2 linked regions of the Tribolium castaneum genome follow. The protein of the gene in region 1 interacts with the protein of each later gene in a pairwise test. Links are inferred from orthologs where the notes say so. Each region holds a gene or a part of one and is shown in the gene's direction. Other genes may lie near its edges.

The links.
Region 2: the proteins of serine/threonine-protein phosphatase 2B catalytic subunit 2 (region 1) and sra interact in binary tests that used the Caenorhabditis elegans proteins (3 or more experiments, as listed by UniProt). The link is inferred for Tribolium castaneum from reciprocal best matches to the Caenorhabditis elegans genes tax-6 and rcan-1.

Annotation. Positions count from the first base shown.
Region 1 is NC_087394.1:25,325,929-25,329,752, forward strand, and holds part of serine/threonine-protein phosphatase 2B catalytic subunit 2, read left to right. Parts: intron 1-1,012; coding exon 1,013-1,045; intron 1,046-2,084; coding exon 2,085-2,163; intron 2,164-2,212; coding exon 2,213-2,310; intron 2,311-2,364; coding exon 2,365-2,528; 3' UTR 2,529-2,566; intron 2,567-2,580; exon of another isoform or gene 2,581-2,595; coding exon of another isoform or gene 2,596-2,621; intron 2,622-3,824. Other genes in the region: Pep (zinc finger protein on ecdysone puffs), read right to left, coding at 2,596-2,621. UniProt on the Caenorhabditis elegans protein: Calcium-dependent, calmodulin-stimulated protein phosphatase. Dephosphorylates arrd-17. Dephosphorylates daf-16 at 'Ser-319' which regulates daf-16 nuclear translocation. Dephosphorylates calcium permeable cation channel pkd-2 at 'Ser-534'.
Region 2 is NC_087397.1:2,068,326-2,072,526, forward strand, and holds sra (protein sarah), read left to right. Parts: upstream 1-1,611; 5' UTR 1,612-1,795; coding exon 1,796-1,988; intron 1,989-2,033; coding exon 2,034-2,506; 3' UTR 2,507-3,505; downstream 3,506-4,201. Other genes in the region: probable nucleoporin Nup54, read right to left, coding at 1,242-1,299; organic cation transporter protein, read right to left, coding at 3,671-4,201. UniProt on the Caenorhabditis elegans protein: Inhibits tax-6/calcineurin A phosphatase activity and thereby negatively regulates calcineurin-mediated functions.

The DNA of each region.
Region 1 (3,824 bases):
CTTTTTTTAATCATACCACTCATTATTACGATGAACAATTGACAAAACTTTGCACTTGTGTTTTGATGGGAAAGTTTTAAATATTCACAAACGGGTTTTTTCCAGTTTGTAATAAAAGTAGAATACAAATCGATTTTTTTTTTTCGTTTTAGTTGCTTTGACCTTTAAGAAAATAGTTTTTTATCAAAAGGAGAAATTATAAGAATGAAAATGTTAGCGTTTTTCCAAAAGAGCTTAAATAACTAACAAAATTATTAGTAAAAGAAAAATAGACGCCATTGGAGCTTGGAGCAGTCCTTTGCGTCAAAAACCTGTTACTTTCGCGAAAATATTTGTTGTAATTGATGTTCACTCAAAATGGTAGCTAGTGATAATAACAACACGCTTATTATTTTTCTTCAACCAAAAATAATGCAAAAAAATACCTTTTGTTATTTTTCAATGCTACTTGGAATTACAGATGGTAAGGTTCAGTTTTTATTCCCAACAATAATTTGCTTTAAACTTGTAGTACGTAATTAAAATTAGTCTGCCTGAATAGTTACGTGTTTTTGTTTTTTCGTTTCTAGTTTTTGATTTTGGTTCAAGCTAAATCTATTACTTTGACGGTCGGCTAATTTTTTTAATGATCGATTCGTTGGTGTGCATTTAGCTGAAAACCACACCAATGAATTAGTTATAAACCCCTGAGTTTGATCGACTTGCAAGGGTTGTTCAAACAATCAAAAATATTGCCAAATATGTTGATGTAAATACCCAATTTTTCGATGTTTTGTTGTTTATGACCCCAAGTAGCATCTTGTCCCATTGAAAATTTTGCGATATCTGTCAGATATTTACTTCTAAAAGCACTGCATAATTCTCCGGCACTCAATCTTAAAATCTCTCTCAAAAAGATATGATTTTCACAAAGTGAATCCATGCACTCGTATTGCTTATATTTTTTCTTCTATTCTGACACTTCTATTTTTCACTATTTGTCTATATTCGCCTTGGAATCGCGCCCACACAGCGAAACAGGCAAAAATTGTTATTAAAAAACCTGGTAAGTTATCACAGAACAAAGCAGCTTAAACAGAGGAGTTAAAATAACACTGCATTAACGATCATTTTGAACAAAATTAAGCGCGTTTTTTTGTGGAACAATTCTTATTGACTCACTTTCGACGGGACTCGGAGGTTGTGCATTGTTTTTAAGTTTGTTTGGGTTTTTCAATTGTGAATAGGCATTGTTCCCAAACGGCTTGTTTTTGCAATTTTTCTTTTCCTCAATTCGAACGATTACGACCAAATTAACTTTTCTTATTTTGGATTTTTACACTAACCACCCTGACCACGTTTTCATACTGTTTTTATTTCGTTTTCGAGTTCTTCATCCCATTGGTAGACTAGTTTATGTTTCCTTCAGATTTACGTTAGACGTAGCCGATTTAGATGTAGCAAGCATGATGCATATTTTTTGATCAATTTATAAATGTAACTCGTTATATATTTGGCATTATTAATACTCTTTAAAAAATAAGAAAAGAATTTGTCTCATTGATACGATTCTAGTGCAGTACTGTCATATTTTTTCTATTTTAATCTCCTTTATCGTTTTTTACGATTTTTCTCGCTTAGTGTTTTTGCTTTAATCTTTTAGTTCTAGCTTTTGACTAAAGATTTTTTTATCAAATCTGTTGTTATCTTTCGCGTTGTGGATGCACACAAGTATCCACAACCATTTGATAAATAAATATTTGCTGAAAATTTTGTTACTTGTATGTTTGACGCTATATTTTCTACATGCACCGTTTGTTTTGTTTTTTTCTATAACTCTACGCTACACTTTGCGCCACTGCCCATTTGCTGTCGATTTCTTCATCGATGGTTCCGATCAACAACTCATCGTTTGGTAAGTTTCAGTCGCTGTGAATGCTCACTGTGCATGTACATAACGCCCATCACTCACTAATACAGAGTGTCTCAAGACAGAAAAAATCTCTTTGTCATAACAACATCCATTATTAGATTAGCAAGTGTAGCACTTTTCGTTCAATTCGGTTGTAACCAAACCGCTAAATCAGTTCGGTTTTTAGGTACAGCAGCAAACTTGAGGAAAGAAGTGATACGTAACAAAATCCGGGCGATTGGTAAAATGGCTCGAGTATTCTCTGTTCTAAGGTAAAGTTTCGGACGAGTTAGGTCGTGTCGATTAACTCGATTGTTCCAGGGAGGAAAGTGAATCAGTGTTGCAACTTAAAGGTCTCACGCCTACGGGTGCGCTGCCTCTAGGCGCGTTATCAGGCGGAAAGACGAGTCTCAAAAACGGTGCGTTTTATCGATTCGTTTGAGATAGTGTATGGAAAATGCTTGTGTTTTTAGCGTTGCAAGGATTCTCTCCTAATCATAAGATAACGAGCTTCGCGGAAGCCAAAGGTTTAGACGCCATCAATGAGCGCATGCCTCCGAGGAAAGATGCGCCACCGTCGCCGGCTGAAGAAACGCCACAGGACCACAATCACACCCAATCTAATGCACACTCGTGAGCTACACTTAAATAGGACATCACATTGGCCGGCTGCAGGTTTGTGCATTAGTTTGTGAGGGATCGCTTCAAAAATGTCCAAATCCAATTACCCCTTAAAAAAAGAGAGCACTAAATAATTAAACTCAAAATTAGATTTTGACATTTTAAACGTAAGTCGTTCCAAAACCTGGCCATTTTTCACGTTACAAGGCATTGTAAAACTAAGATACTGAAAATATAACTCTTTTTGACGAAATGGAGAATCAAATGTGATTTTTTCTTACGGAAAGTTATCCGAAGATTCCAAAAATGTCTGTTTTTTCATTAAGATATCGATCAGAATTTGGTTCCTTAAGATAAATTTTTGTTGGAGTAGAGGAGAGTGCTTATAATTGTGTACTTAGGAATTCGAATGTTTAAATAATTGATACTCCAACTTTTGATAAGCAAAATAATTTAAGGATTTTGAATCTGTTGTCAAATTTTGTCTGCGAGCGGCACTTCTTATGATCTCAATCAGTCAAGGTTTCAATAATCAAAAACAATCAAACCAACTCAAATGTAAGTTTATCTTATAAAAAAATTTCTGAGGACTGCGAAATTGTCTTTATAACAGTTTTTGAGACAAGTCAAAGTTTCGTCGTTTCCTTCTTGAAAATAACGGTATTACGTGCAGTAAAGTATCAGAACTCTTTTTTTTATCGAAGTTAAACAATTCATACAATAATAATTGATACTCCAGATTATCATATGAAAAATTGTTGAAGGATTCTGAATCTGTTTTTATTGTCAATGAGCTACTGTTTTAAGACTTCTCTTTTAGATTTCACTCTACGTTTTAGCAAAATTCTTCGATAGTGTCGTTTGGAATTTTTACAGATTATATTGTTTTTGTAATCTGGGCTGTCCTTTAAATTATTTTGTAGTGTGATCGCTTTTTTATACGAATGTTTAAAAATTCTTTGATAAACACTTCTTTACATTCTCCAAATTCTCTATTAAATTCTACTCTATCACTTCAATTCTTTTAAATTATTCTCTAGTTTCGCTTCGAATTCTTCCATAATAATTTTTAGCATTGTTTGTGTACTTTTCTCTAGATTTTTCTTAAGATGCCAACTACGTCTTTGTAAAATTCTTTGATAGTTTCGTTTGGAATTTTTGTAGATTATATTTTAGCATTGTTTTTGTAATCTGAACTGATCGTTACATTATTTTGTACTCATCGTTAGATTCTTTTATAAATTCTTCTCTATATTCTTCTGTAGAAGTATTTTGTAGACTGTATTCAAAATTCTCTTAATTCCCTCTTAGA
Region 2 (4,201 bases), on another chromosome or scaffold:
TTCTTGCAGAGTTAAGTGTTTTTCCTTCGCTAATAAAAAGCACAATGTCGGGCCCTACGGTGAGTTTAATTTTTATTTTTCAAGTTGGATTTAAAAATTCCGATTCTAGCTATTCTCATTTCCTATCAAAGGGGCTACTAAAAGTTTTGGAACGACCCTTCAAGTCACAGACGATCAAAACGTACTCAAAATTGGGCAGAGTTTCACTCCCCCAGCTACTACCCTCATCAGCGAAATAACCAACAGTACGGTTACTGCAGAAACTGCTACCACTCCTGAGATTTCTCAAAATATTACAACAACGATTACCACCGTGATAACCGAAGTGACCGACAGTACGACCGAAACAATCGGTATTTTTGAAAACAACATCACTTCAGCAGTGGCCGAAATAAAAAACAGTACACAAAATACAACTTCAACCCCACTTGACGTATTTTCTTCAACTACGGATGTTTCGAACCAAATATATTACGAAGGATACGACGTTGAGGGAAAAACTTTGTACGTTGTTTTGGGAGTTATAATCGTCAGTCTGCTCTTAATTATCGTCATTCTTATCGTCGTTTATAAGCGATATAAAGCCAGCCGTTCAGGATCGCTTGATTGTGCAACCGATTTGAGCCAAGTTACCATCTCAAACGGAAGAATGAAATCGTATTAATTATATTTGTGATAATCTGTTATATTTTACTATCATTATATTTTTGTTACTCGCTTAGGTAGGTTTATTTATATCCTCAAAATGTTATTGCCGAAATAAATTCTTGGTTTATAAATTATAATCTAGGTTTTTTATTGAACACGTCCAGTTTTTCATGTTTTATCAGTTAAGTAATGAAATTACTTTTGTGTACTGTGCAGCACAGACGTGACAAAAAATTTAAGTTAAACACTAAACAAAACATTTTTTAGCGATTTGTTTCAAACAAAAATTGTTGAATTGTTACTCACACGTTAACAATCATCACAATTAAATTTTATAACCATTTAAAACACCAATTAACATTTTATCTGTAAAAAGTGTGGTGATTTGTATTGTTGAGTCTGAATGGTACAAAACGCTGCCACTTTTTCGATTTTTTCTGGTTAAAAATTAAGAACACAAACATTAGTCAGGCGTTTTGGGCAAAATTAAATCTCATTAATTACGGTTTAAAGGGAAAATAAATAAAACCGTGAATACCAAATAACAAAATAGAAAGAACTTAACCTAACTTTCTTACGGTTCTAAAACTTACGTTTATTTGCCGGGCTTCCAAAAGTCGACTGGTTTGCATTTCCGAACGAAAATGCCATAACTGCATTAAATTTAACGTTAGTATTTATATAAAAATAGTAATTACAATTTTTTATGTATTCACAAATTGAACTTAACGAATTGACAGAACTGTCAAACTTCAAACCTAGGTTATACACCGGCAATTTCACAAAATTTCAGCGTTTTCTGTACAAAAAAATACGAAATCAAAAAGTCGCTCATGTGTTTATGTTAATTATCTGGAAATCTATCCATTTCAGGGTTTTACGTTTTTTTAAGCTCATTCCTTTGTATTTCAATTCGGGCTGGCGAACTTTCGGCTTTCATCCCCTTGTCAAGTGTCATTCATTCCTGACATTTGGCATTTGCAATTGTTGGGTTGTGTTTTTTGCACTTTGATATTGCAATGTTTTTGTGTTAAAATTTAGTAGCGTAAGAGTTAGCCTTGATTAGTTTAGCCGAAAAAGTGCGCATTGTTTTATGGGGTTTAAACCGCGGTAGATCCTGTGTCGGTGAATTTAATCCAATTTTTCAATGGCTGAAAGCAACGGCGAAATGGACGACGATATCATCATTAACGACCAAGACGGCCTTCCCAACGTGCACCCCAACCTGCTGGCGGAGGCCGACATCGACAGCCCCGAGCATGTGACCGACGACGAGTTCGAGGACCTGCCGACGTCCCTCATCGTCACCAACATCCACGACAGTGTCTTCACCTCGCCCGGTAATCCGCCCCCAGCCCTCACCCGATCTGACCGTAAAATTGCAGAGAAAAAGCGCGAAATGGAGAACCTGTTCCGGAACTTCGACCCGGACGTGACATTCCAGTGGCTGCGCAGTTTCCGAAGACTGAGAGTGAACTTCCAGACGCCCGTGGCAGCCGCCAGCGCCCGCATTCAGCTCCACCAATACAAAATCAACGACTCAGTGATTACGTGTTACTTTGCTCAACCCGTCACCCCCGTCAAAAACCCCAGCCTGCAGCCGCCAGCCCCCTTCAAGCAGTTCCTAATCTCGCCGCCGGCGTCGCCCCCCCTCGACTGGGAGCCCCGGCCGGAAGGTGAGCCCATTATCAATCATGACCTTCTTGCAGCTTTGGCCACCCTCACGCCGGGGGCGTCGCACGAGGTGCACCCCCCCTCCCCCGGCCAGCCCAGCATCGTGGTGCACACGGCCCTGGGGGCGGACGGCGTGGGGGCCAAAGGCAGGATGCCACAGACGTCGTGTCCGGAACGGAGTTAATGATTTGTACAGGTCTTCAAGGTTATTTTAAGTGTGAGCTTCAGAGCCTCTCAATATGTCAATTTCTCTCTATGTAGAATCTGTCACTCATTTATTATGGAATTACGTGATTCATTTGTTGGTTGTAACTGTATCATTAATTTAACTCAATGTGATAATAAAGGTGTTGCTAATAAAAGATAATTTCCTAAAGTACTCAGCGGGAATTTGAGACAGGTTGGCCCTGAGTTTAATGCCATCAGCTGGCAACTTCAAACAGGAATCTGTAATTATTTATTGAAGAAAACAGCAACCAATTTTATATTCAACCTAGATTCAAGCAATTGATTATGAAATTGGGGTGGAAAAAATTATCAGAAGTACTCAGTTTAGAAGAAATTTTCTTTTTGTAATTACAAAACTCGAGAACTTCCTTTGTATGTTTATTAATGACAACGAATTTAAATGTTTAGTTCATGCTAGTCTTTAGTCTGTGATTTTTTCTCTTTTCACCAGATTATTTATAAATAGTTTCGTATATTGTTTATTTTTTGCTTACAATCTTTACACGAGTTACGAAATTCGGTAACTTTAAAAATGATAAAACTAAAATTTTATTGGTTTATTTGGTTGTGACAAAAATTATCGATTTAAAGTTGCTGCAGTTTCGTCGAAAACAATATTGATCAACTTTATGAATAAAAAAGAGTGTAAACGTACCAAAAATACGGATACGTATTTTGTAAAATGGCTATGTATATTTTGTATAGTCGTAATGTATGTCCACTGACTTTCTCGAATTATTCTGCAATTATGAAGCTTGAAATTACATAATTACGTATGGGATTAAGTTTATTTTTAGATAATTTGTGCCTGTTTCCGACTATTTTTCAAGCTATATCCCTGAACAATAGTTCGAACAATGTCCGTATCCACCTCTTTATTTCAATGGTAATAAAATAAACAAAAAGACGTTAACTATGTATCTATGTGTAAATAAAGTTATTCGTTGATAAATCAGTTCTTTCTTTAATTTTTTTCATCGGAATTACAAATTGAATTTTCTCCCCACCCGATTACTCGTAAATCCAAAGGCGATTTTACTTTTATAAAAATATTTATTTTATGAATAAATAGACAATAAGTCCACACTCCTACTACACTAACAGTCGCTAAAGCCGCGCTTCACCTGGTGACCCCCAGCGGTTGCATTTGCTCGGAAGTTGGTGGCTTGGAAGTGACAGTTTCTTCCTCATCCGGAGTCTTCTTCTTGCAACATGACGTGAAGAACGTATCGCCTTTCCCGAATTCTTCGCCGTCTTGTATAGTTTGCGGCATGGGTTTGTTCAAAGTTTCCGGAAGGAATAAGGTCAAAAACCCGGAAATTAGCGCAATAACTGCGAAAATAATGGACGGTAGGGTTGGATCGAACGAATCCAGGAGTGTTATAAGGGGAGTTAGGGCTCCGGAAGTCCGGGCACACATTGCCCCGATTCCGAGGGCCGAGTTTCGGACAACAGTCGGGAAAAGTTCGGCCGAGTAATTGTAAATAATTGCGAAAGAACTGGCGATTAGGAATTTGCCAGTGACGACGAAAGCGGTCGATTCGGTACTTCCCATGGTTAGATTCGCGGCAGCGATGCAACAAATCCCGCCAAGGATCATATTGAGGGCGGTTAAGGACCGACGACCCATTCTGTCCATCAAATACACAGT